Bombyx mori: one gene and its partners. The protein of the gene in region 1 binds, or shares a complex with, the protein of each later gene. Links are inferred from orthologs where the notes say so. Each region holds a gene or a part of one and is shown in the gene's direction. Other genes may lie near its edges.

The links.
Region 2: the proteins of uncharacterized protein LOC101745226 (region 1) and protein aveugle are in contact, whole or in part, in a crystal structure (PDB 8BW8), measured with the Drosophila melanogaster proteins. The link is inferred for Bombyx mori from reciprocal best matches to the Drosophila melanogaster genes cnk and ave. Residues at the interface, in NP_001286524.1 of Drosophila melanogaster: Pro47, Glu51, Leu56, Arg57, Ile58, Gly59, His60, Gln61, Glu62, Leu65, Glu66, Glu69, Lys110, Ile111, Asp112, Thr113, Leu116, His117, Ile119, Thr120, Arg121, Ile123, Lys127, Val130, Glu134, Arg139, Arg145, Cys148, Gly149, Leu152; in NP_725413.1 of Drosophila melanogaster: Tyr24, Gln51, His52, Asp53, Ile54, Arg57, Ala58, Arg61, Ile62, Thr63, Ser66, Arg69, Met70, Glu79, Trp82, Arg83, Val86, Lys87, Arg89, Leu90, Lys91, Asp93, Ile94, Glu96, Ile97, Arg98, Met100, Glu101, Leu103, Asn104.
Region 3: the proteins of uncharacterized protein LOC101745226 (region 1) and Mek are in contact, whole or in part, in a cryo-EM structure (PDB 8BW9), measured with the Drosophila melanogaster proteins. The link is inferred for Bombyx mori from reciprocal best matches to the Drosophila melanogaster genes cnk and Dsor1. Residues at the interface, in NP_001286524.1 of Drosophila melanogaster: Arg46, Tyr48, Arg72, Tyr76, Thr92, Lys95, Asn96, Arg99, Arg103, His117, Arg121; in NP_511098.1 of Drosophila melanogaster: Arg200, Gln255, His258, Gln262, Tyr319, Val321, Asn322, Glu323, Pro324, Lys347, Gln348, Asp350, Glu351, Arg352, Ala353, Asp354, Lys356.

The regions. Positions count from the first base shown.
Region 1 is NC_085128.1:245,943-253,272, forward strand, and holds part of uncharacterized protein LOC101745226, read left to right. Parts: coding exon 1-123; intron 124-392; coding exon 393-633; intron 634-738; coding exon 739-890; intron 891-957; coding exon 958-1,155; intron 1,156-3,040; coding exon 3,041-3,334; intron 3,335-3,422; coding exon 3,423-3,665; intron 3,666-5,420; coding exon 5,421-5,556; intron 5,557-6,503; coding exon 6,504-6,666; intron 6,667-6,741; coding exon 6,742-6,799; intron 6,800-7,330.
Region 2 is NC_085109.1:14,221,877-14,229,808, reverse strand, and holds protein aveugle, read left to right. Parts: upstream 1-3,802; 5' UTR 3,803-3,982; coding exon 3,983-4,021; intron 4,022-4,170; coding exon 4,171-4,284; intron 4,285-4,494; coding exon 4,495-4,677; 3' UTR 4,678-6,403; downstream 6,404-7,932. Other genes in the region: protein phosphatase inhibitor 2, read right to left, coding at 1-68, 1,394-1,798. UniProt on the Drosophila melanogaster protein: Required for normal photoreceptor differentiation between Ras and Raf for EGFR signaling in the eye and for mitogen-activated protein kinase phosphorylation. Probably acts together with Cnk to promote Raf activation, perhaps by recruiting an activating kinase.
Region 3 is NC_085127.1:6,272,677-6,280,778, reverse strand, and holds the start of Mek (MAP kinse-ERK kinase), read left to right. Parts: upstream 1-3,978; 5' UTR 3,979-4,194; intron 4,195-4,721; 5' UTR 4,722-4,757; coding exon 4,758-4,876; intron 4,877-5,349; coding exon of another isoform or gene 5,350-5,352; coding exon 5,353-5,522; intron 5,523-5,781; coding exon 5,782-6,057; intron 6,058-6,750; coding exon 6,751-6,944; intron 6,945-7,055; coding exon 7,056-7,220; intron 7,221-7,903; coding exon 7,904-8,071; intron 8,072-8,102. Other genes in the region: chromatin assembly factor 1 subunit A, read left to right, coding at 101-279, 699-860, 1,307-1,774. UniProt on the Drosophila melanogaster protein: Required downstream of Raf in the sevenless (sev), torso (tor), and Drosophila EGF receptor homolog (DER) signal transduction pathways.

The DNA.
Region 1 (7,330 bases):
CCCCCCCCGCTGCTCGTCGCCGAGGCCGGCTCGTTCCCCGTGCTGCGCGCGGTGCCCCGCCGCCCGGACCGCAGCGAGCCCACCTCGCCGCTCAAGCCGATGCGGACCATCGACGCCGGACAGGTAGCAGCACTCTGCTACTAGCGGACTAGTGTAGTCATCTAGCGGAGCTAGCGGTGTGGTGCTCTGCGTCACTCTGCGACTCGCCCACAGCGGGCCCATGCTATAGATCGGCTCGTGTGTTCGTCATCACTGGGGGAGTCGGCGATTGTAAGAATGGTGCTGTTTTATTGTAACATTTTAATTTTAAAACTCAGTTATTCCTCATCACTGGCGTCAAGTAATAATCCGGCTGAAGATGTTGCGTAGTGTGTCACGGTCATATCAATCAGATTTCAGTTCCGCTCCGGCACATCACGAAGCACGATATCAAAATGATCCCGAACGAGGTGATGCACGAGCTGCCGGCCATCAACAGCGAGGCGGACCCCCCGGGCGCCCCCGCGACTCCGCGACCCGTCGACGATCACCACTCCTCACGGCCTCTCGCACTGTCGCCCACTAGTGCCGTGCGAGGCATGTTCCCCTCGTCCAAATCCAGGAGTCTGAAAAAGAAGAGCTCCATACTGGCCAGTGAGTTAATTCCAACAGCACATACAAATTGTCAATTATGAGTAATATAGCTATAAACGTTGATTTGGTATTGTTTTGAACAACGAGTGGCATTGCGTGGCTCAGAGCGCCGGCAGGTGGCGGCGCGGTGGGTGGGCGCGCGCGGCGCGGGCGGCGCGGTGTGGCAGCGCGTGCGGGCGGGGGGCGCGGCGCCGCGCTGGGTGGCGCGCACGCTGCTGCTGGCGCACAACCTGCTGTACGCCTACCGCTCGCCGGAGGTACGTGTCCCCGCCCCGCCCCCGCCCCCCGCGCGCCGCCCCGCCTGTACCCGCCCCCTTTGTGCAGTGCTCGAAGGCGGACTGCATGATCTACCTGGAGGGGTTCACGGTGTGCGCGGCGGGCGAGGTGAAGTCCCGCGCGCACGCCTTCAAGGTGTACCACACCGGCACCGCCTTCTACTTCGCCTGCGAGTCGCGGGACGACATGCTGGCCTGGATCCAGCTCATACACCGCGCCACGATGCTGCCCTCCCTGGGCCACCAGGTACTGTCCACTGAAAAAGTCTCAGTAAATGACCACCATTTTACTGAGATTATATTTCATCCCATATCATCTCATCTCATTTCATATAATTTCATCTCAGTTGATTGATGTCTCAAATTAATCATCCTAATTTCATTTCACTCCATATTATCATTTTTCATAAAAATAAGAATATAAATTAAAATAAGACATGACCTAAATAAAGGTATTAGTTATCAGGTCAAAAAATCCGTTTAAAAAAATAAAAATACTTGTTTCCTCCCTAAATTTAGGGGGGAGAAATACAAAGTTGGGAACCCGGTCGCTTTTGTTTTGTAATAATAGTGGCATATTTTGACATTTTTGCCACAGAGTATAAAAGATCAGCAATGTCGGAACGGCAAAGGAATATTTTTATGCAGTTCGTAAACATGACGCCACCACAACATTTTCCCTTTTTAATTATTTACTCACAAATTAAGTGATGTAAAATTATAAGAATTACATATTTTAGCTCAGAATAAAAAAAATAAAGAAACGATATTTTTATGCATGATGAAGTTTTGAAAGGATAATGTCCATTTTCTTTGGGCGTTTGGGCCCCTAAAAAAAGTTGTCGTGTCATGATGGTTTTAACTTAATTTGATAGACAAAGAAATATCGTTTCATATTCAGAAAACGATTTTAATATTTTCACCCAGGTTTAAGAGAAATCTGTTTTTTTCTGCAGCTAAAATTAAATTGTTGTTTTCTTCGAAAATCGCTCTCATAATTAATTACAGTGTTAAATAAGTGAATTGTGGTTAATGTTGCTAGAAATAAGCCCTTATGTACGTTTTATTATTATTATATCCTCATATTAATAATAAAATGAAGGTGGTTTCTGAGAATGGACTTCATTGACCCTTCTTTCGGAAATGAAAATCCAGAAGCCAGCAACGATATTGCTGTTGTTGTTTTTGAATTCGCCAATAGGCAGGCAAAGAGCGTAACCTAAACAGCCTAGTCTGTCGTAGTTATATTATTTTTATGTTAATAAAAAGCCGGTGTATCTCTTTTTATTGCTTTTTTGGAGTTTTGACGTCAACTCGACGAATAGCACATTGACTGAGCGTGAGTTTCCGCAGACCTTTTATCTTGAAAAAAAAAAAAGAAACAGTCACTGCTATGTTAGCCACAGTTTTATTTCAATATCCACAATCGTGAATAACGGTTATTGACGTTTAATACATCAAACAACACCCAATTTATATATTATACATCACAATAAACTATTAAAAAAACATTAAAATAAAACTTCAAGTGACGCTTCACTCGGGTTGCTGCCAAAACTCTGACCATAGATAATAAGAATAAGTAATGGTGGGCCATTGAGATTTTTACTAATGGAATCATTAATGTCTAAAAATGTTAAATAATTCATGGTTTTAAGTAATAATTATTATTACAATATATAAATATTGAATTGAACAAAAATAAACTAAAAAAGTCTGTGAATTATAACCGTTCCGTTAGCTTTTTTTTTAATTTGTTGTTCAAGTCAACATCTCTTTCTTTTGGCAGCATTTAGGTTTACTATAAGTCTGTATGGGCTAGCCCTTTGTCTGCCTATTAGCGAATTTAAAAACTATGAATGATGGATGTACTCAGTTTTCGGATGTTATCAAATAAGTAATTTATTTTTTTGTAAAACAATGCCAGGGTGAAAGAAATTTTGATACATAAACTAAAGAACGTGAAAAAATAAGGCATGTTTTTCAAGTACAAATAGTTTTGACACAAAATTGGCCCACTTTTGGGCATTGTCCTATTGTCAATTGAATTGTGTTATTGTAGTATTAAAGGACACAATTTGTATAAGATGAGTTGCCCACACAACATACGTGTTTCTGTCGCGTGCTTGCAGCTGGACGTGTCCAAGCAGTTCTCGGAGACGGACTACTCTGAGACCGAGTCCGACAGCGAGAGCCCCGACAAACGGAGCGAGAAGGAGAAGGAAAAAGATAAAGAAAAGGACAAAGATAAGGAAAAAGAGAAAGACAAAGATAAGTCCAAGTTCGGTTCCTTAAAGAAACTAACCCACATGATGCAGCGCAGCGAGTCGCAGGAGATCGTCAGCCACTCCTCCACCAGCCTCGACAGGAAGTACCTGAGGTTCTTCCTCAGGAACAAGAGCAAGGACGAGACCAAACCAGCCAAGGTCAGTCGAACGCCGTCTCCGGCCACGCTCGTGGCCCCCCCTGTCCCATACCCGCCAGTTCTGTACTGCGCACTGTGACCTGTCGCAGAGCAAGCCGGCCCCCCCGGAGCAGGCGCGTGGCCCCCCGGAGCAGGCGCGCGGCCCCCCGGAGCACGCGCGCGGCCCCCCGGAGCAGGCGCGCAGCCCCGCCCGCGCCCCCCCGGAGCCGCTCGCCAACAAGATACCGAAGCCGATCAACTACATCCACGCTTCCAACCCGAACCTGCTCGATTTTGAGAAGAGCGACTTTGTGACGCGCCCCACGCTGCGGGTCCCGCGCCCCGAGCCCAAGGTCAGCGCCGCTCACACGCACGCACACGCACGCACGCACACACGCGCGCCGCCCGCGTGCTGACACGGTTAAGTCAACCGGGCTCAAAATCCCGTAAAGTTTTGTAAATTGATTGAGTGAATCAGAAAAACAATTAGTTCGATAATTTTTACATTACTACTACTACTGCAGCTACTTTTACACTGCGGGACATAATGTTCTGTTAACTTGAAACACACTCTAAATCGAGGTACGAATTGTTGGATCTTGCAGCACGCACCGGTACGCACCGGGACACCAGTACGGCATTGTATGGGAAACATAACATTAAGATAAAGATAAAGAAGCCTTTATTAACAACCTTAATTCATATTTAGGTACATTTTTCTTTTCATTTGACATCCGCTAAGATTGTTTTGCTTTCGCATAGACCTCCCCCAAATCCTGCCATAAGTTCCGGTCGTGGCATTTCCTCTTCCACGTAGAGCAGGTCCTCTCGCAGGTCTGCTGGAAGAGATTTCTCAAAGAAATAAGCAGTGCCTTTGTACATAATTTTCCTATTACTCTGTACTGTGTCTTGTTTTCTGTGTGTACAAAAATAAATAAATAAATAAATAAAATAAATAGAGCCTGCAACGGCTTTTATATCGTCTACCCACCTTTGGAACGGTCGTCCTTTTAATCTTTTCCCCTTTTGAGGGTACCATTCAGTTACTAATGTAGCCCATTTTTCTGTTTTGCTTCTTAATAAATGACCTATCCATTTCCACTGTAATTTTTTAATTGTGTATGTATGATACATCCGTTACTTTTGTTTTCATACGGATATCTTTTAATTTTATTTTATCCTTTATTTTAGCATGTAGCATGCTTCTCTCCATACTATGTTGGCATGTCTGCAGTTTTTTGATGTTCTTCTGAGTTAGAGCCCAGGTCTGACACCCATACGTCATAGTCGGAAGTATATTTCTATTAAATACTTTACTTTTGAGTGGTAGTGGAATAGACCCGTTTTTTGTTATTACTTACATACATATTTACGAACATAACATTAAGAGCATCTTATTCATAATCTAAATTACAATTAATCTGTTGTCCTCAAAGTCGACGGCCGCGCCCCACTGCAGTCCCGGCCTGTAATGTCGCGGGCGGAGCCCGTGCCGTTGTTAAATTTTTTTTGCAAAGTTATTTGAATTAATGTTATATTAAATGACTGTCTCTTGGGGAAAAGCGATTTTAGTCTTTTCCTAGTACTAAAGAGTATCTCCCATCTCCTTTCACGGCTCGGAGACTGTTTTTTTTGCTTTTATGGTTGGATGAGCTCACAGTCCACCTGGTGTTAAGTGGTTACTGGAGCCCATAGACATTTACCACGTAAATACACCACCCACCTTGAGATATAAGTTCTAAGGTCTCAGTATAGTTACAACGGCTGCCCCACCCTTCATACCGAAACGTATTATTTTACTGCTTCACGACAGAAATAGGCAGGTTGATGGTACCTACCCGCACGGACTCACAAGAAGTTCTACCACCAGTAATTACACAAATTATAATTTTGCGGGTTTGATTTTTTATTACATGATGTTATTTCTTCACCGCGGAAGTCAATCATGAATTTTTGTTGAGTACGTCTTTCATTGGAAAAATTGGTCCCTGCCTGCGGGATTCGAACACCGTTGCATCGCTAGATACGAATGCACCGGACGTGTTATGCTTTAGGCCACGACGACTTCAAAACGACTGTCTCGCTGTAGCGCGGGTTGCTTGTTGCAGCTGGACAAGGGCCCGGGCGCGGTGACGCTGGAGCAGTTCATGCTGGAGAAGCAGGCGGAGGAGCGGCGCCAGCTGTACTCCGAGCGCGTGCTGCTGGGCGTGCGCCGCGACCTGCAGACCAGGCTCGACAGCATCGGTGCGGGCGCTGCAAGCTATTTATTTACTTATCCCATTCAATTCAAAAGTCACGCTTACAGTTTGCACCAAAACGCCTGACTGGTTAACACAAAAAACATTGTTAAAATTATTAAGTACTATTATTATGCTAAAGATAGCATTATTTTGGAAAAAAGTGTTCCCCAACTATCGGCAAATACGTCACAGCGCAATCGCTCTGGCCGCTGGACAGCTCCTAGCTCCACGGGTCCTCAGCCCCGCCCGCGCGTGCTGTTGCCCGACGAATAGTGTCGTTTGCCAGTGCAGCGCAGTGCCAAGGAATTATTGACTCTATTCTGTAATAAAGAACAGTAACGTACGAGTAGATGCAACTTAAGTTGCAAGTACTTAACGCTGCGTTTTAACGTCGCGCTCTGTGCACGTCACACAAATTGACTAGACGAGCCCAACGCTCCTTGACGCAACGTAACATTCGCCAAATCATAGTGCTCTCCGTGCAGTGTGAAAATTTAAAGATATTAAGATGTCGAATGATTCAGATGTGGCATTGTATAAGCGCGAGTATTTTCCAACTAATTCTATCAATTTTTCGGGCATTATCCAGTATTTTAATACATATTCACTCGGACGCTAAAATAAAATTTGTAAAAAATAACAACGCCTGACGTCTAGCGTCCTAACGCGGCCTTAGAGCGCTGCGTACTGCTAGCGCTGGCGCTCGGTCTGACACTTTATTACCATACTAGTACAACACATCTCGGCGTCGTAGCGCGCCGTCAGTTTAGCGTTCTGACGCGCGCTAAGTACGCGTTCTGTGTGAAAAACACCTATTCTCCGCTGAACCCCTCAGCCGCCGCATACAAACCCTAATGGTGTTGCAGGCCGGAATGCACCTTCCTCGTTTCATTTTAAATTATTTCAATACATTTTCACGTCACAGCTTATTGAAGTAAACCATTGTAATAGTTCCAGATGTAATCTACGGGGAAGTGCGAACGGGAAGCAACTCTGCAGTGCAGGGGCGCGCTCTGCCCTCCGCGCCGCCCTCCGCGCCCTCCGCGCCCACCACCGCACCCTCCGCCCACAGCAGCACCACCCCCAAGCCTGTCTCCGTCAGAGGGAGGGACGGGTGAGTGGCATATGATGTCCGCCGGCGGAGACTAGTCCCCACGCTGAGTCAATGTTGATAAATGTAATTTCCCAGATACGAGAGGCTGGTGTACCGCGCGGAGGAGAAGCCTGCCTGGGGAAGGAATCACAAGGTGAATATGACCATGTTTGTGGTAGTCTACATAAGGCAAATAGTACAATGCGGCCCGGGAACGGCCGCTCGGGTCGAAATATGGCCACTACCCTTCAAAAACTTTATCGAATAAAATAGCTGAACAGCGGGTAGGATCTGTCTATGAAATTACAATGATTATTTTAAAATCGATAGTTTGATAACTATGTACATACAATTAACTCTGCCAGATATCTACAGTTTAATTAATCCTATTTTGATTTTCTTTAGCATTTTTAAACTTTCGATCAAAAGAGATCCAGAAACAAAACAGCGTTGTTTCCGAACTTCAACAAATATATGCCTATACGAGTATAACTAAAGAAGGAAATAAATTGGTATAGTTCTTAATTGTGAGCAAGAAACATAAACTGATGAGAAGACGGTAATGACATTAAAAATAAATAATTAAGTTAAAGGAGGTATAAAAAATAATAAACACTAACATAATTGAAAAAAAAACATATAAACCGTTCATTAATTATTTCTAAAACCTTCTCTAAAGGTTTTC
Region 2 (7,932 bases), on another chromosome or scaffold:
TTCTCGGCTTTGTCGTCATTATCTTCGTCATCTTCTTGAGCCATCAGCTGTCGAGCCAGTTGTAATGCCTGGAACATAAACCATGATCTGGTAATATAAAAAAATTGTTTTTCTTTCATCTCAGACATAAATTTCACAATATAATTTGTCATTATATCTTCATTAAGCTTCATTGATAAATTACATATCATAATGCAGTTCATAGTGGTGCCTGGTAATATAGAAAATAACTACAAAGGTATTTTAAGAATTATCTACCAGGAGACCTGGAAGAGGAATTTTATTATAATATATTTAAAGCAGGAAGACTATTGCATCAATATTTAGATTTTAGACGTTCATCATAAGCTCTGGGAAAATTCAGAAACGTGAACGAGTAAAAATATTTTATTAATTTAGTCCTCTCTTCTTTGTAAATTGCAAGGTGAGAAGTTCTCAGCGCAACTTATTTATCATTTAATACCATCAGTACAAATCTAAAATATTGTTTTCTCCTTGCTGATATCTAGATATGTTATCAAAAAGATATTGGTTTCCTATCATTTTGATAAACTTATCAAATTTGAACAGTAAAATAAGGTTAGTAATATATTTTTTTTACTTAGATCAATGGACCTGCCCACCTGCTGTTAAGTGGTAACCGAAGTCATTAGACATAACAATGTAAATGCAGTCAATATAATAGATGTTCCACCTATCAACCCCTTCAGCATCTTATTGTTTAGGCCATCATGACTTCAAATAGTATTTTATATAAGATCACTTTACAGATACGATGATAAATAATCATATTTAAAAACATGCTTTTTTCGTATGATAAGACATACATGTGTGTTTAGATAATCTTTTCAAATTTTAGACTATATTCCCTCTGCAGAACTAATTTGGGATTTTTGATTTTGATAAACAAAGAGTGCTCTTATTTAAGTGGATTTTACTAATATTTTCATTTAATTTTATTCCTCAATCTGTTTCTGTGTACAAACACAAATATTTTTTAAAGAAACTATTCAAATTCAATGATAAAGCAAATAAATACTATCATGTTAACTTAACATCAAAACTTAGAACTAAATACTTCTGATGATATAGAAATATCCCACATTCTATAGCCATATTGTGCCAAGCTAGTTTCCTTCTGTTATTAAAATTATGGTCCCAGATGCCAATGAAGATGAACAAAAATATTCACACCAATCAGAAAAACAAAACAGAAAAGAAAATGAAGTCACTCAAGGTTATTAGTTATTAAAAAAAACACATTAATTAATACTATGTTGCCCGGAATACAATTTACACCATTTAGAAGAAACAATTTATCACTACATCCTACTTAAATTGAAAATGATCTAATCACTCAAGCTTCTATGAATCACATAATATAATATCTGACCTGGAATTCATTGTAATGCATTTTCCTTTTCTTCTCGAACTCGATACGCTTTCGGCGTACTTCCTCCGGCTCCTCCATGTCCTCGTCACTATCGTCACAGGACTCCACGCACTTCGGCGGCTTGTTCATGCTGGCAGCTAACTTAGCTGCGAGTAGATTAGCATCTAATTCATCATTTGGTTCCAAATCACCGTCTACCGTCTCCGAAAAAGGCGTTTTAGGTTCTTCTACCTTCATGTGACCATAGTCCTTATTCGGTGGATGAAAAGTCTCCATAATGTTCATTTCATCAAATCTCTGTTCTTTCGCTCGCTTACTGCAAGATGGCATTCCGTCAGAGCCATCGACGCTACGAGACGTCTTCAATATGCCCTTGGAGGGTTTTTTCTGTAAATTTTGCGCCATTATTTTTGTTTATATCGGCATTTTACATGTAATAATTCATACGGGTAAAATTCAGACTTCAACTAATTTCATTTTTTCAACTTCAATATTTGACAGCTTCAACATTTACCAAAATGTCTTTTTTGACATTGTATTTGTTTTTTTTTGTTGGTTTTATCTACTGGTAAAAACAATATAGCCTATACGATGTAATGTTGTAGCAAGAACTCGTATGTTCGTACTTTGAATTCAAGTGCTCTATAGTCCAAAATTATTTACATACTTGAAACATTTTTGAAGAGAAAATTTCTTTAGCCGCATAATGCACTTTAACCAGTAAAAAAGTAAAGTAAAGTTATACTCCTATTCCACAATTTACTGTAGGTGGTAGGACCTCTTGTGAGTCCACGCCGGTAGGTACCACCACCCTGCCTATTTCTGCCGTGAAGCAGTAATGCATTTCGGTTTGAAGGGTGGGGCAGCCGTTGTAACTATACATGAGGCCTTAGAATGTATATTCTAAGGTGGGTGGTGCATTTAAGTTGTAGATGTCTATGGGCTCCAGTAACCACTTTAACACCAGGTAGGCTGTGAGCTCGTCCATTCATCTAAGCAATAAACAAAAAAAAGCATCTTGGTGACGCGACACACAAGATTTCACCCATCCAAAAAGCGTCTAACGCATACAGTCAGGTATATATTATGACGTCTTATCTTATACGTGACGCTGCAGATGCGCTAGTTTGTTTGCTTAGTGCGAGTTTTTATACTTTTCAATCGCGTAAAAGTTAACTCAAACTTGCATGGTTTTTTTTTTTTTTTTTTTTTTTTTTTGTCAGGAGGAAATCGCCGGACTCCCACCCTCCACTGGGGATGGAGGGTGGGGCATGTCGGAGTCGAACCGACTAAAACCTCCTGTCGCTCAACAACCAACGTCCAACCCTCGCATGAGACAGAACTCATGAAAAGGCAAGGGGAGGAGAGTGAAGCGTTTAGTGCGGAGCACATCTCTCCCATCACCCTCCCCCTCGGGACGCCGGGCCAGCGATCGTCGGCGCCACGACCACCAGCCCTCTCGGTCGGCAGGCTGTCCGAAGCCCGCCTAGATGGCGCCGGTTTGAATTGGTTATCCTACGAAATACCCCGCTGGGTCAGAACCAGCGTGGGTCGAGGATAGCCGGCCTTCCATCACCCGGATGCTCTTGCGTAAAACGCGTGCAGAGCAGCTTGCACGTCGTCTTCTTAGGCCCCCTTCGCCGGGCCCCAGACCGACATATGAGGGGGACCCGAAACACTTAGAGGGCGAGGGCTAGGGCGAGATCCGCCTCCCTGGCCCCCGCTCGACGGCGGCGGGCTTGTGCGTCTCTCACGCGCCCCGCCGCCTCCTTCTGCGAGATGGTGCACTCGCAGAAGTCGAGCATCGCCTTCCACGACTCGTCGTTGCCGAGCATCGATGCCACAACACTCGGCAACGACAAGTCGTTTCCTATTTTTGCGACAAGGACACGGCGCCACCCCTCCCATGCGGGGCAGGCAACGAGCGTGTGCTCCGCCGTGTCCAAGTCGCAACCACAATGGTAACACTCTGCCGTCGGCTCGGCTCCGATCCGGTGCAGGAACTCACCGAAGCAACCATGCCCAGTGAGCACCTGCGTGAGCCGGAAAGTGAGGCGTCCTCTGTCACGATTCACCCAATCCACAAGAATCGGGCGAATCGCCTCGACGGTCCTACGACCAGCCGAAGGATCGGCCAGCCGCCTGGACCATGACTCCAGCGAAACAGCGCCCCTAGTGGCAAACGAAGAGACGCTGTTCCAACCGCACTAAGTACAGTGGTATCTGAGTACTAGTACGTTCTACGTATATATTATGTTCTAATATGTTCTATTATTGTGTGCAACTTATTACAACTAAAATTCATTGGATTTAGAAAAAAGTTATTTTATACTAATTGGTATTTGAATTAAATTGTATTTCTATTTCATGATTTGGCATTATGGGCTATGTTCCCATCGACTGCCAATTGGACTACTCAAATTGAAAAAAAAGAGTACGTTTATATTGTTTTGCAAAATTATAAATCGTAAAATCACATATTACATACACATAATATTTACACTAATTATTATTGTACAGGATTTACATACTTGAACCTCTAAATTATTGTATTTGTAGTAAATAATTTATAAAACTGTAACTTTGAAAATGGTGGAAGAACCGAATCTTAATTCAAGTAAACCCAAAGTTAGTATTTTAAACATTTAAATTAGGCGTTTGTGTAGACCAACGATTTTAAATAAAACAAAATCTTATATTTTGCCGAAATTCGAACCATAAATTTCCTAGTACTATAACAGTTTTTGGTTAATGAGTCTATTTCAATGAATTTTCAGGCGAAAACGACCCGTCCCAAAGCTATATATTTATGGACAGAAGCCGACGTCCAAAAGTGGCTTCGACGCCACTGTAGTGATTATTATCATATGTACTGGGAGAGTTTTCACGAGGTAATATTTTTCATCCAATTAACAAAGCTTCAAACTTCAAAATCGATTAAAGAATTTTTCAAAATTCTTAGAATCATTCATAACATTGAGTGCAAAAATAAGCTAGTCAATGAGCTATTTATTGAAATATATGACCTAATTGTAATACACTTGATTAGTGAAGAATTATGAAATGAATAATTAACATAAAAATAATTAACACAATTTCAGCATGACATAACAGGTAGAGCTCTAGTCCGTATCAATGACAACACATTACTTCGAATGGGTATCAACAACAAAGATCACAGGGAAGCCATATGGAGGGAAATCTTAAAACTTAGACTGAAAGCTGACATAGTCGAGATCCGTGATTTAGAACGTAGGCATAACTATTTTAATTATGACTTGTGACAGGAGGAGCCTCTAGTTGAGGAACCGAAGACAATTGAACAAATAACATCACAGCTTACTGTATGGGGATACCTGATTAATTACATATACACTAAGTGCAATGCATTTGTACGTTTTCTCTGTGCCTTAGTAGAAATATTCAGAGTATTCAATGCTTTACAGAGGTGACAACTATAATCTGCAGCCGATAGGGCTAACTCACTTTATTCACTCACTAAATTCCATAGTGATAATCCAGAAGCTACCTACTGTAGGAGATTTAATTTATACTATATGTCATAAACATGATTGAAGTTTCAGATTTCAGACAGATGTTAACTAAAATGTCAATAATGCTTTACCGTATTACTGTGTTCATAACATAGAATGGCTGTGGTTATATTATTTGTTAATCTATGTTTTTAGTATTTCCGAACTGATATTAGTGCACCTTGATGTATATTAGTAAATGCTCACAGCTATTAGTTTGTAGGTCTATTTATCCTGACAGTTCTGCCAGTCAATAGTAATAAAATCTTGTGTGACTATTAGCTAATTAGTGATTTTGTTAGCTAATTAGCTTGAACAGATTATGCAAGTTTGATGTACCACTTGTTTTATGAATGTGCAAAGATTTAAAAAAAAACTGTTTATAATCAGTTGTAACATACGTTTTGAAAAAGAAAAAAATACGACAAACAAGACCTAATATGCAATGCAGTTAAATGCTTGAGCAATCAGAATTTGACAAAATTTCTGACATTGAAATCATTTTTTGTCGTTTATAAGGTGGGTTCAGCCCAATAGACATACATGCAAATGTCTCATTTGAATGTTAATTCATCTTGTACCCTTAGATTTAAAAGTCAAGATGGGAATTAATGTCAGGGTTAAGTTAGAAAATGATAAGCGCCTAATGAAACTAGATCAAAGATTGAGAAGAAGCAGCAGTAATAAAATAAAAAAAATTGACAAATCAACTTCTTGTTGATTTGTTTATTTTAAAACACATTAGTGTGTTTCGTCCGATTCCTTTTAAAAATTTATATGATGTTGTTAGTGCTCAATTTAATTTAAAGGAAACACTATTTTATAAATAAATAAAGAATTACTTAACAAAAATGATAAATTTATTTATATGTTATTGTAATTTTTTTATAATATACTTATTTTTAGTGAGTGGTGCTGCTGTTGTATTAAGTGTTGGACTGAAGTTTTAAAGAGTATTTAGTGTTGCATTATTATTACCTTTAATGTTCACTTTGATGGAATTCAAAGGAGGTGGGCTATTTTAAAAAATGTTAATAAAATAGATTTTAGTTTTTGTGATATTTTTTAATGAATCACTCAATTTTAATGTCAATTTTGTGAAAATACTTAAAGCCTATTGTGTATATGTTTACAATAAGTGAAAAAGTAATACACTAAGTTGTATTACTCAATCTTTCAATTTATTTCATACAAAGTACTACTAATATCTGCAACATTTGAAACTAAACTAAATAATTATTTTAATACGTAATGTATATTCCTTCCATGCTTTAATTTAACCTTGTAATGAATTCCTTCCGATAAAATTAAAGATAAGATTAGTGATTTAGGCATATATTCATAGATATTATTTATTAATATTGATTTAAAATATCAAGATATTGTAAATTGATATTTTATTTGAAGGTAAATTTAATGAAAGTATTTTTTTTGACAATAAAAATATTGTAATAATAAAAGCAATCCAAAGATATAATTATTGTTTTAGTTGCATTGCTATGCATTTATATAATATCATAAATTGTTCGATTGGAAAAACCTTGTCGTATCAATCTGTTGAAAAAGTCATGATTATAATATAGCGCGTAAATGAAATGTCCTTAAACCGGAATGGGAATAAGCCAATACCTTATGGTTATCTTTACACAAATGACGATTACTTTCAATTGATTTCCAGTAGGGAAACACGAAATAAAAGTAACGGAGCTTGCAGGCATCGCGCGCCTTTCCTCAAGTCAACATTCCGCGCTGTAGATGATTTTAAATAATTCAGTGTGCTTAGTGCGAGTTTTTTAACGTTTTCGATAGCGTAAAAGTTAACTCAAATTTGTATGGAGTTGGAACGCTTACCTACGTTTGCCGCTAGGGGCGCTGTTCCAACTGCATACAATATTGAGTTAACTTTTACGCTATCGAAAACGTTAAAAAACTCGCACTAAGAACACAGTTTAAAATAAGTAATAAAAATCAATCAGTTTTATATTTCGGTCTGTTTCGTCTATGCCGGGTTCTGCCGGGAACGAAGCCCGGCAACGCCGACATATTGTTGCAAAATGTTCGTTGATCAATCACTTTTATTTTTGCTTTTCCAAATACTGGTACGGTGAACAGAAAAAAACACAATGGCACTGAAAAACCAAGGTTTGTATTAATTTACTATGGTGTGGGTCGTTTGGTGATAGAAAATAATTGTGCCCACGATATTCCACTGATGCTATAATCTGTGACTTCACACATTTCTACCAGGAGGGGGGTGTCTACCTAATATCTAAAGGAGCAGAGAGCGCCCGTCTATTCCAAAAACTATCAACAGTAAGATTGGACAAGTTCAATATGTTAAAATAATCACTATCGAATCAACTATAATCGAGTCCGCGACTAACTAGTTCCCCGTCTTACATTGATGTATTAAAAAAACCCCGTCTTAACAAATAGAGTTGTTTTTAGATTGATCTACCTTAGACTGCTGCGTCCATTCTCTAATTTCTCGCTGACTAACATCAAGTGAGTTCGTCATGGCCTAAAAGATAAGACGTCGGTGCATTCGTATCGAGCGATGCAACGGTGTTCGAATCCAGCAGGCGGGTACCAAATTTTTCTAATGAAATACGTACTCAACAAATGTTCACGATTGACTTCCACGGTGAAGGAATAACATCGTGTAATAAAAATCAAACCCGAAAAATTATAATTTGCGTAATTACTGGTGGTAGGATCTCTTGTGAGTCCGCACGGGTAGGTACCACCACCCTGCCTATTTTTGCCGTGAAGCAGTAATGCGTTTCGGTTTGAAGTATATGAATATATGTACCTATACGAGGGCTGCACTAAAAGTATCGGGAATGGAATATTTCCACTGTTCCTGTCATATTAAAATCTTTTCAATTGAAAACTCCTTGGTTTTAAAAATCGAATACCATTTATTTATTTAAAAAAAGATCCTCGGTCGGAAAGATTGGGCACTAATATATAATAATGGAAAAAAATTCTAACTGTATGTGCTAT
Region 3 (8,102 bases), on another chromosome or scaffold:
TCGGCCCCGGGCCCGAAAAAAAAAAGACCACTACTGCCAATAACGAACATCATAATAAATATTTACAACAAAATGAATATACATTGATATTTTTTTACAGAAGATGAACTGCCACCAATAGATGCAGAAGATGAAATTGTAGCTTGCGACCAAGCACCTCGTGAAAAGCTTAGACCTAAACTATTAAGCTTCCATGAAAACCGACGGCCTCCATATTGGGGAACATGGAGAAAGAAAACCACATTTGTCAAACCTAGAAAGCCATTTGGACAGGATGAGGTAATCATTTGACATTGTATGTATGTCTCTTTCCTTTTATTTATTGCTTTGATCGGTGGACGAGCTCACGGTCCACCTGGTGTTAAGTTGTTAAAGGAGCCCATAAACATCTACAACGTAAATGCCGCCACCCTCCTTGAATCATTAGTTCTAAGGTTTCAGTTTTTACAGTACAATGGCTGCCTCAGCCTTCAAAATCGAAACGCATTATTGCTTCACGGCAGAAATTGGCAGGGCGGTGGTTTCTTTTTCCATTCGTGTTCACAAAACTTCCTACCACTAGGAAAAGTTGCTAGGGCAGATGTGATCAAAACTCGCCTACTTATTAAGTAAAGCTAGTATAACCCCTTGACATCACTAGCTGTAGTTAGGATAAAAGAAGAAATAAATAAGTACAACAATCGAATCGGGTATTTCAGAAACAACTTGACTACGAAGTCGATAGTGATGAGGAATGGGAAGAAGAACAGGAGGGTGAAAGCATTGATGGTAGTGCTGTTGGTAGTGATGACGAGCAAGATGGCGATGAGTATGAAGTAGATAATGAAGTGTTTGTACCGCACGGATATCTTAGTGATGAGGTTTGTATTAATTACCCTAATATTAGTATTAAGCTTCAAATATTAAAAACGTATATCTTTTAAAATTAGAATTTACTCAGACACAACAAAACAAAAATTTAATATGTAGTGTTGATTCAACCCTGTTGCTATTTTCTACAGAAAACCAATCATGGTCATTTATTCCACTAAAGGAAGAATCTCCATCATGTTCCCTCGCTCCTGGATATCAGAAATATAAATAGCAAATTAAATGGCACCATATATCGATATCAAATCCTGTTTAAAGTAATTTTCCAATAAGTATTCCAGTATTCCAATTTTGTTCATACTTCAACCTCATGTTTCGAAGTAGGCCGTCCCAATTTTGATATGTTGGAGATGAGTCTTGATTACTATTTAAGTAAAAGTAACCTGTTTACTATTTATCTAATTGGACTTTAATATATTCTTTAAAATATTCATAGGAAGCAACTATGGAAGATGATGACGTACTATCACTGTCCCCTGAAACACAGAAGGCGAGGCTCAAACATTTAGAGGATGAATTTGAAACTGAAATGAAGAAACCAACCGAAAAACTGAAACCACGCATGTATGGCCCACTTTGGGAAAGTAGTGATGGTGGTAAGCCTAGTAAATGCGTTGACGCTTTATGGAATTACTTCTCGAAACTAGCCATGGTTATTGATGATCCAACGCCTTTCTTACAACCTTCGAGTGAACCTGACGAACAAGAGAAAAAAAGAGTTAAGAAAAAGAAACCTGTTAATTCTGAAAACAGTGAACAAAACAATAAATCTGAAAAAAAGAAAAAGCCCAAATCAGAGGAAAAAGAAGGAAAATCGCCTAAAGTTGAAAACAAAAAGATTGGTCCCGAAAAAAAGAATCAGCCTGGCATAAATATGTTTTTAACTAAATTAAAGTCTTCATGAGTTTTCACTTTTCTGAAATATAATAGAAAATTGAAAACTCTTGATTGCTTAATGCTTCAATGTTTGACCATATGATGCAAATGATTCATTTGTATTATTTTATTGAATAGTAAATTTAATATGATATTTCATTTGTAATTGAACAATATTTAAATATTTGAGCATATTATTTTAGTATTAGAGCTAGTTACATTAACAAGCAGCATTAGGTGATTTCTGTAAATAAATAAGCTTGATTTTATTTTAATGTATTGCCTAGGTTCTAATTTTATTTCAACATTATTATAAACCCATTTCTTAATATTGTACTTTTTTTGTTTTCATCCTGATATAGAAATTATAAAAGAAAGATAAATAGAATAATCATCACATAGCTGTGATGTTAGATTGTTTATATTTAATTTAGTTAATTAGGGTATACCTATGAATAAATAATAAGTCTATTTATTCATAGGGGTATACTAAACACAATGTACAGAACAGTGATTGATATATCTGTTCCGGGTTGAGATATCAATCTTGTGTCAAAGTGGGAACATACAATAAGGGTTAAAGGTATAAATAACTAGTAAATTAATCTGTGAATAATAAGTAGTGTCCTTTTAAAATGCCACTACACAATATGAATGAAGTTGATCGATAGTTTCAACAGAAAACTATGTTGAAGATACTCTCTAGTGGCTGTTGGACTTTGAACCACATTACTTCACTCTTCATTACACTGAATTGCTTTAGGTATTTTTGCGGGAATATGAGCAAAGCTGTCTGAATAGTTTTGTTAATTTAGTGTTTCTTCAGGTTTAAACGTGTAATAATAGTACATTATTTACTGTTTGGCATCTTAAAATACACAAATTTGGAAAAATTAAACAGCCGTTGGACGTGGCTTCATAAGTTCTTAAAAGTCCACTGAAGTCTCAGTAAATAACCATAATCTTACTGATCCTTTATTTCATCTCATCTCGTTTCATTTAATTTCATCTCAATTGATTACAGTCTCAAATGAATAAACTAAATTAAATCTCATTTCGCTCCATTATCTATACTTCTATACTAATATTATAAAGAGGAAAGATTTGTTTGTTTGTTTGTTTGTATCGAATAGGCTCCAAAACTACTGAACCGATTTGAAAAATTCTTTCACTGTTTGGAAGCTACACTATTCCCGAGTGACATAGGCTATAATCTTTTTTGAAAAAAATTTGGGATCCATACTACATTGCGTGCCCTGCGAAAACTATTGATGACAGAATAAAATAATGTACTACGACTTTGTAGAACATATTATTATTTACAAAAAGTGTCGCGACAGCATATGTCTAACTATTATAGTTATGCCACAATAAGTGTTCTTTTATATAAAAAAGTAAAACAACGTCGTTGAAATTTTTGCTAAAGATCCGAGCGAAGCCGGAGCGGGCTGCTAGTTTTTGATATAACAGAAAATTTCAAATTTTCTAATTATTTATTTTATAATTGAAGGTAGGTATTTAATAATTGAAGATTTTTATAAACTGGACATTGGCAACAATGGTATCGCAAGAAGCCAATTGCCATACATAAAAGACGAAGAATATCTTAAAGCAGCATGTCAATGAATTTTAATATTCTTATTCCAATCTAATAGTATTTTTCAATTTTTATTTTTTCTCATGATTTATGTTTGATTTTTTAATTGCATAAACGAGCAAAGCAGCTCAGAACTTGGAGAGCATAACAAGCAAAGCAGCTCAGAGAGTTACTGGAGCTCATATAGATCACAACGTATTTCTATAGTACTACTTGCAACGTAGATAACCACTATCATTTTTATGAAATAAATTAACTTCCTATAAAGTTGCCTGGAAGAAATCGATTATATTTCGATTTATGACATAACATCAATATTCTTGTTCATTGTTTTGTACATACCTACCTTAACCTTTACTTAAATTTTTGTTTGTTGAAGAAAGAAAAAAAGATATGAGAATTCCGAACATAAATCATTTATTATTATTATCAATATTTTGGTGATTAGATAATTTTTATTATTACTTGTTAGATTTGAATTTTTTGCGAGTAGTAGTCTGAAAAAAAAATTTGCTCAACTTGGTTTCTCGGTAAATTATAGAATCTAGTTCTATTTTTTTTTTATAACTTCAGGTTTTGTTTCAAAAGAGTAGTTAAGCTGTTTGGGTCACATTCTCTTTGCCTATCCAAAAGACGAATCAAAAAAATGTCATATCTACTTACGGCAAAAAATTTGCGAGTGACGAATATTCGATTTACATTTTCTTTTCAGTTAAGGTTTTTTCCGACATTAATTGCTGGGTTTGGGACTCTTTTTGAGTAGTTTTGTTTGTGTTTCAATTTTTTTGTAAGAAATACCGTTGCTGTGTGAACGTTATAAAATAATGCCTTGACAAATGGGTATTTGATGAGTATGAATCTTGTTTTTTCTTACAACGCTTTTTGTTGTTCATAAATTTTGCGGTGTTCGATGAAATTTCCATTTAAAATTAAGAAAAACTTCGTTTGAATATAATAATTGAATTCAATTCATAATGGCTCCTTGCTACATCCTTTTTGTTTAAGTATTAATAGATTTTAAATATTAATCATTAGTATCATAATTAGGCACTCTAACCAAAAATTTTACTCAAGAAAATGAATAATCCAAACAACAAAAACATTGTTTTTTTTATCAGAAACCAATAGTACAGATACATTACAGTATATAGACAGTAGATTATATTTAAGGGGAAAATAGTGTTTTTCTTTTTTAACACTTTCGAGATAACCTAGGACCTGAAATAGCTTATTTACCAAAACAAAAATGTCTTCACAAAACTTAAAGACGCAGGCATAGCTGGCTTACACTGGCAAGAAACTTAGAACTTGTCATTAAATTTCCAAAAACCTCAAAAAAATTAAACCCTCTTATTTAATAATAAATCAACTGTTGTAGATACTTCATGGATGAGGGAAGATCTAAAAAATCAAAATGAGTAAGATGTCAAAGAACAAACTGAATTTGACCCTTCCACCAGGGTCAATAGACACAAACCCAGCTGCCACGCCATCTAACATGACACCACAGCTCAAATCTGCTACTGCAAATGAGTAAGTATATAAATAATGAAACTTCGTTATGAGGTTGAAGTTATTAAATAGGGATTTTAATAATCTTTACAGCAGTAAAGTATTATTATCAAACCTAAAATTATTAAGAAATTCATTATTATAATTATAGAAGTTAAATTTTTGATTCTCAGATATCATTAAAACACTTGTTATGGTTTATTTTCGTATTTATTATTTTCATTTTATTATTTCCAACATTTCTAATGCTTTACATTACAAGAGTTAAACAGTTTATCAGTTTTTATTTGTTAATTGCTTAGGCAGGTGACCAAATTCATAGCCTACCTCTTTATATAGTGATAAATATAGCCAATGAACATCACAACAATGATATTATGGTCCTCCATATAAATGGAATGGCACCAAGTATATACTGCATTTCTAGCTTCTTAATAATATATATAAGCATATATATTTACATTGAAATTTTTTATGTTACTGTAAAATTGTTGTAGGCGGCAAGGGTTAGCAGGCAAGTCAAAGACAAGTATAGAGGCTTTAACTGAGAGACTGGAGCAAATTGAGATGGATGATACTCAGAGGCGCAGGATAGAAGTATTCCTCTGTCAGAAAGAGAAGATTGGAGAGCTGAGTGATGATGACTTTGAGAAGCTTGGTGAATTAGGTTAGTGATTTTATAAAGTATCTAAAATAATATTTGTACTAGTGAGTATTTTAATTTTCTGCTATTTTTAAATTACTTTACTGACAACTTCAAAGTTTAACTTGGTGATGACCTTTAAATGCTTAATTAAACTTACCCTATAATTGGTAATTTCAGGAAAAGTAAAAAATGTAATTGAAAAATAAGAATAACTAAACTATATAAAAGAATTACTAATTATATACATTGTTAGTGACTTTTAATTATTATAAAATTTCAGGCCAAGGCAACGGTGGAGTTGTAATGAAAGTTCGTCACAAATCTACCGGACTCATCATGGCACGCAAGTTGATTCATCTCGAAGTGAAACCGGCTATAAAAAAGCAGATAATCAGAGAGTTAAAAGTACTTCATGAATGTAACTTTGCACATATAGTTGGCTTCTATGGAGCATTCTATAGTGATGGCGAGATCTCTATATGCATGGAATACATGGATGGAGGGTCATTGGATCTTATATTGAAGAAGGCGGGAAGAATTCCTGAATCTATTTTAGGTAACGTTTAATTGATCTATGCTACATCAAATTAATAATTAATCGCTAGAAATTCTTACATGTTAATACAAATCATCTATTTGTATTATTTTGTATCTTTGTTGCAATATTCCATTGCATATGTCATTAGTTGTAGTTGAAAGGTTGGTGCCACATATCTGTTTATTAATGTTGCTAAATTACCTATTCTGCTAGAATGCTACAAGAATATATTAACTGTTGATTTTTCTTTAAGCTAATCTTAAACCACTTATTGTTAGTTGAGGGTATTCTAAAAAAAATCAGCAGTGTTGGTACACAGCAGCTTGCTTGAGCTCTATTGGAACCATATAGACGCTTGAAAGGCAAACGTGACTAAGTGACAATAACTGATTTGTTCATAAATGATACGCAAATACCATATTCGATGCGCAAAAAAAATATATTTCTAGGTCTATTAAAATCATTTCAATCCTACAGCTAGACTCGTTAAAATAGAATTTTTTTCAGGTATTTCAATTTTAAATTAGTCTACTGTAAAGTTAACGCATTGTCGCTTAGTCACGTTTGCCTTTCAAGTGTCGATATGAATGCTTCAGTGATCAGCTTGCACATTAATATATACTAACTTTTGTATATTTCTATAACCAATGATTAGAATAGACCTTAATAGAAGAATTAGAATAACCCTAGAATAATATTGTGAACTCTTAGGAACAATCACATCAGCAGTTCTCAAAGGTTTGAGCTACCTTCGCGATAAGCACGCCATCATGCACCGTGACGTGAAGCCATCGAATATACTTGTTAACAGCAATGGCGAGATTAAGATCTGTGATTTCGGTGTTTCGGGGCAGCTGATAGATTCAATGGCTAATTCTTTTGTTGGTACCAGGAGCTATATGTCAGTGAGTTGAATTCGATTTTTTTTCTAAAAATTTAAATTCAAATTTGACCAGAACATCAATGAAAAATAGAATCAAATGTTTAAAATTCAATATTGATTCTTTTTTACACAGCCGGAGCGTCTGCAAGGCACTCATTACTCAGTGCAGTCAGATATCTGGTCGTTGGGTTTGTCTCTAGTCGAAATGGCCATTGGAATGTATCCAATTCCACCTCCTGACGCTAAAACATTGGCAGCTATATTTGGTGGGCAGAATGAGGACCACTCACCGGGCCAGGTAAATTTTAATTATGATTAACTAGCACCACTGGCAGACATGTACGGCTTTAGTATTAAAACATGCTTCCAATATTTTGCAATGCATACAATGCATTTACTGGTGGTAGGACCTCTTGTGAGTTCGCACGGGTGGGTAGGTACCACCACCCTCCAATGAAGTAGTAATGCATTTCGATTTGAAGGGTGGGGCAGAGTTTGTAAATATACTGAGACCTTAGAACTCATATCTCAAGGTGGGTGGCGGCATTTAAGTTGTAGATGTCTATGGGCTTCGGTAATCACTTTACACCAGCTGGGCTGTGAGCTCGTCCACCTATCTAAGCAATAAAAAAAAAAGCTTTTCTAATAATTGTGATAAAGAGAGTTTTCTTTCTCTGCTTTTGCAGTGTATATATCTCACAATATACATACAAGGAGTAATATTGTAAAAGCAATTTTTTAATCTACCACAGCAAATCACTTGATCTGTTTCATTAATTTTCAACATTTAGGTTTGTCTAATGTTCACCCATACTGATTCGTAACTGCTGAGCGACTTTCAATTAATGTCATCAAAGTGTTCATGATATTAACTATACAGAAATATTCCATATTGGTTGAGGACTTAATATTTATAGTACTTAACAAATGACAGTGTAAAAACTAAAAAGAACATTGTACACATAGTTGAATGTTTAACAGGCGCCGAATTCACCGCGTCCGATGGCCATATTCGAGCTCTTAGATTACATAGTTAATGAACCACCACCGAAGCTTCCATCTGGCATCTTCTCTGATGAATTTAAAGATTTCGTGGATCGCTGTCTCAAGAAAAATCCTGATGAGAGAGCGGACTTGAAGACTTTAATGGTAAACATATTTTATTTTATTTTAAAATAAC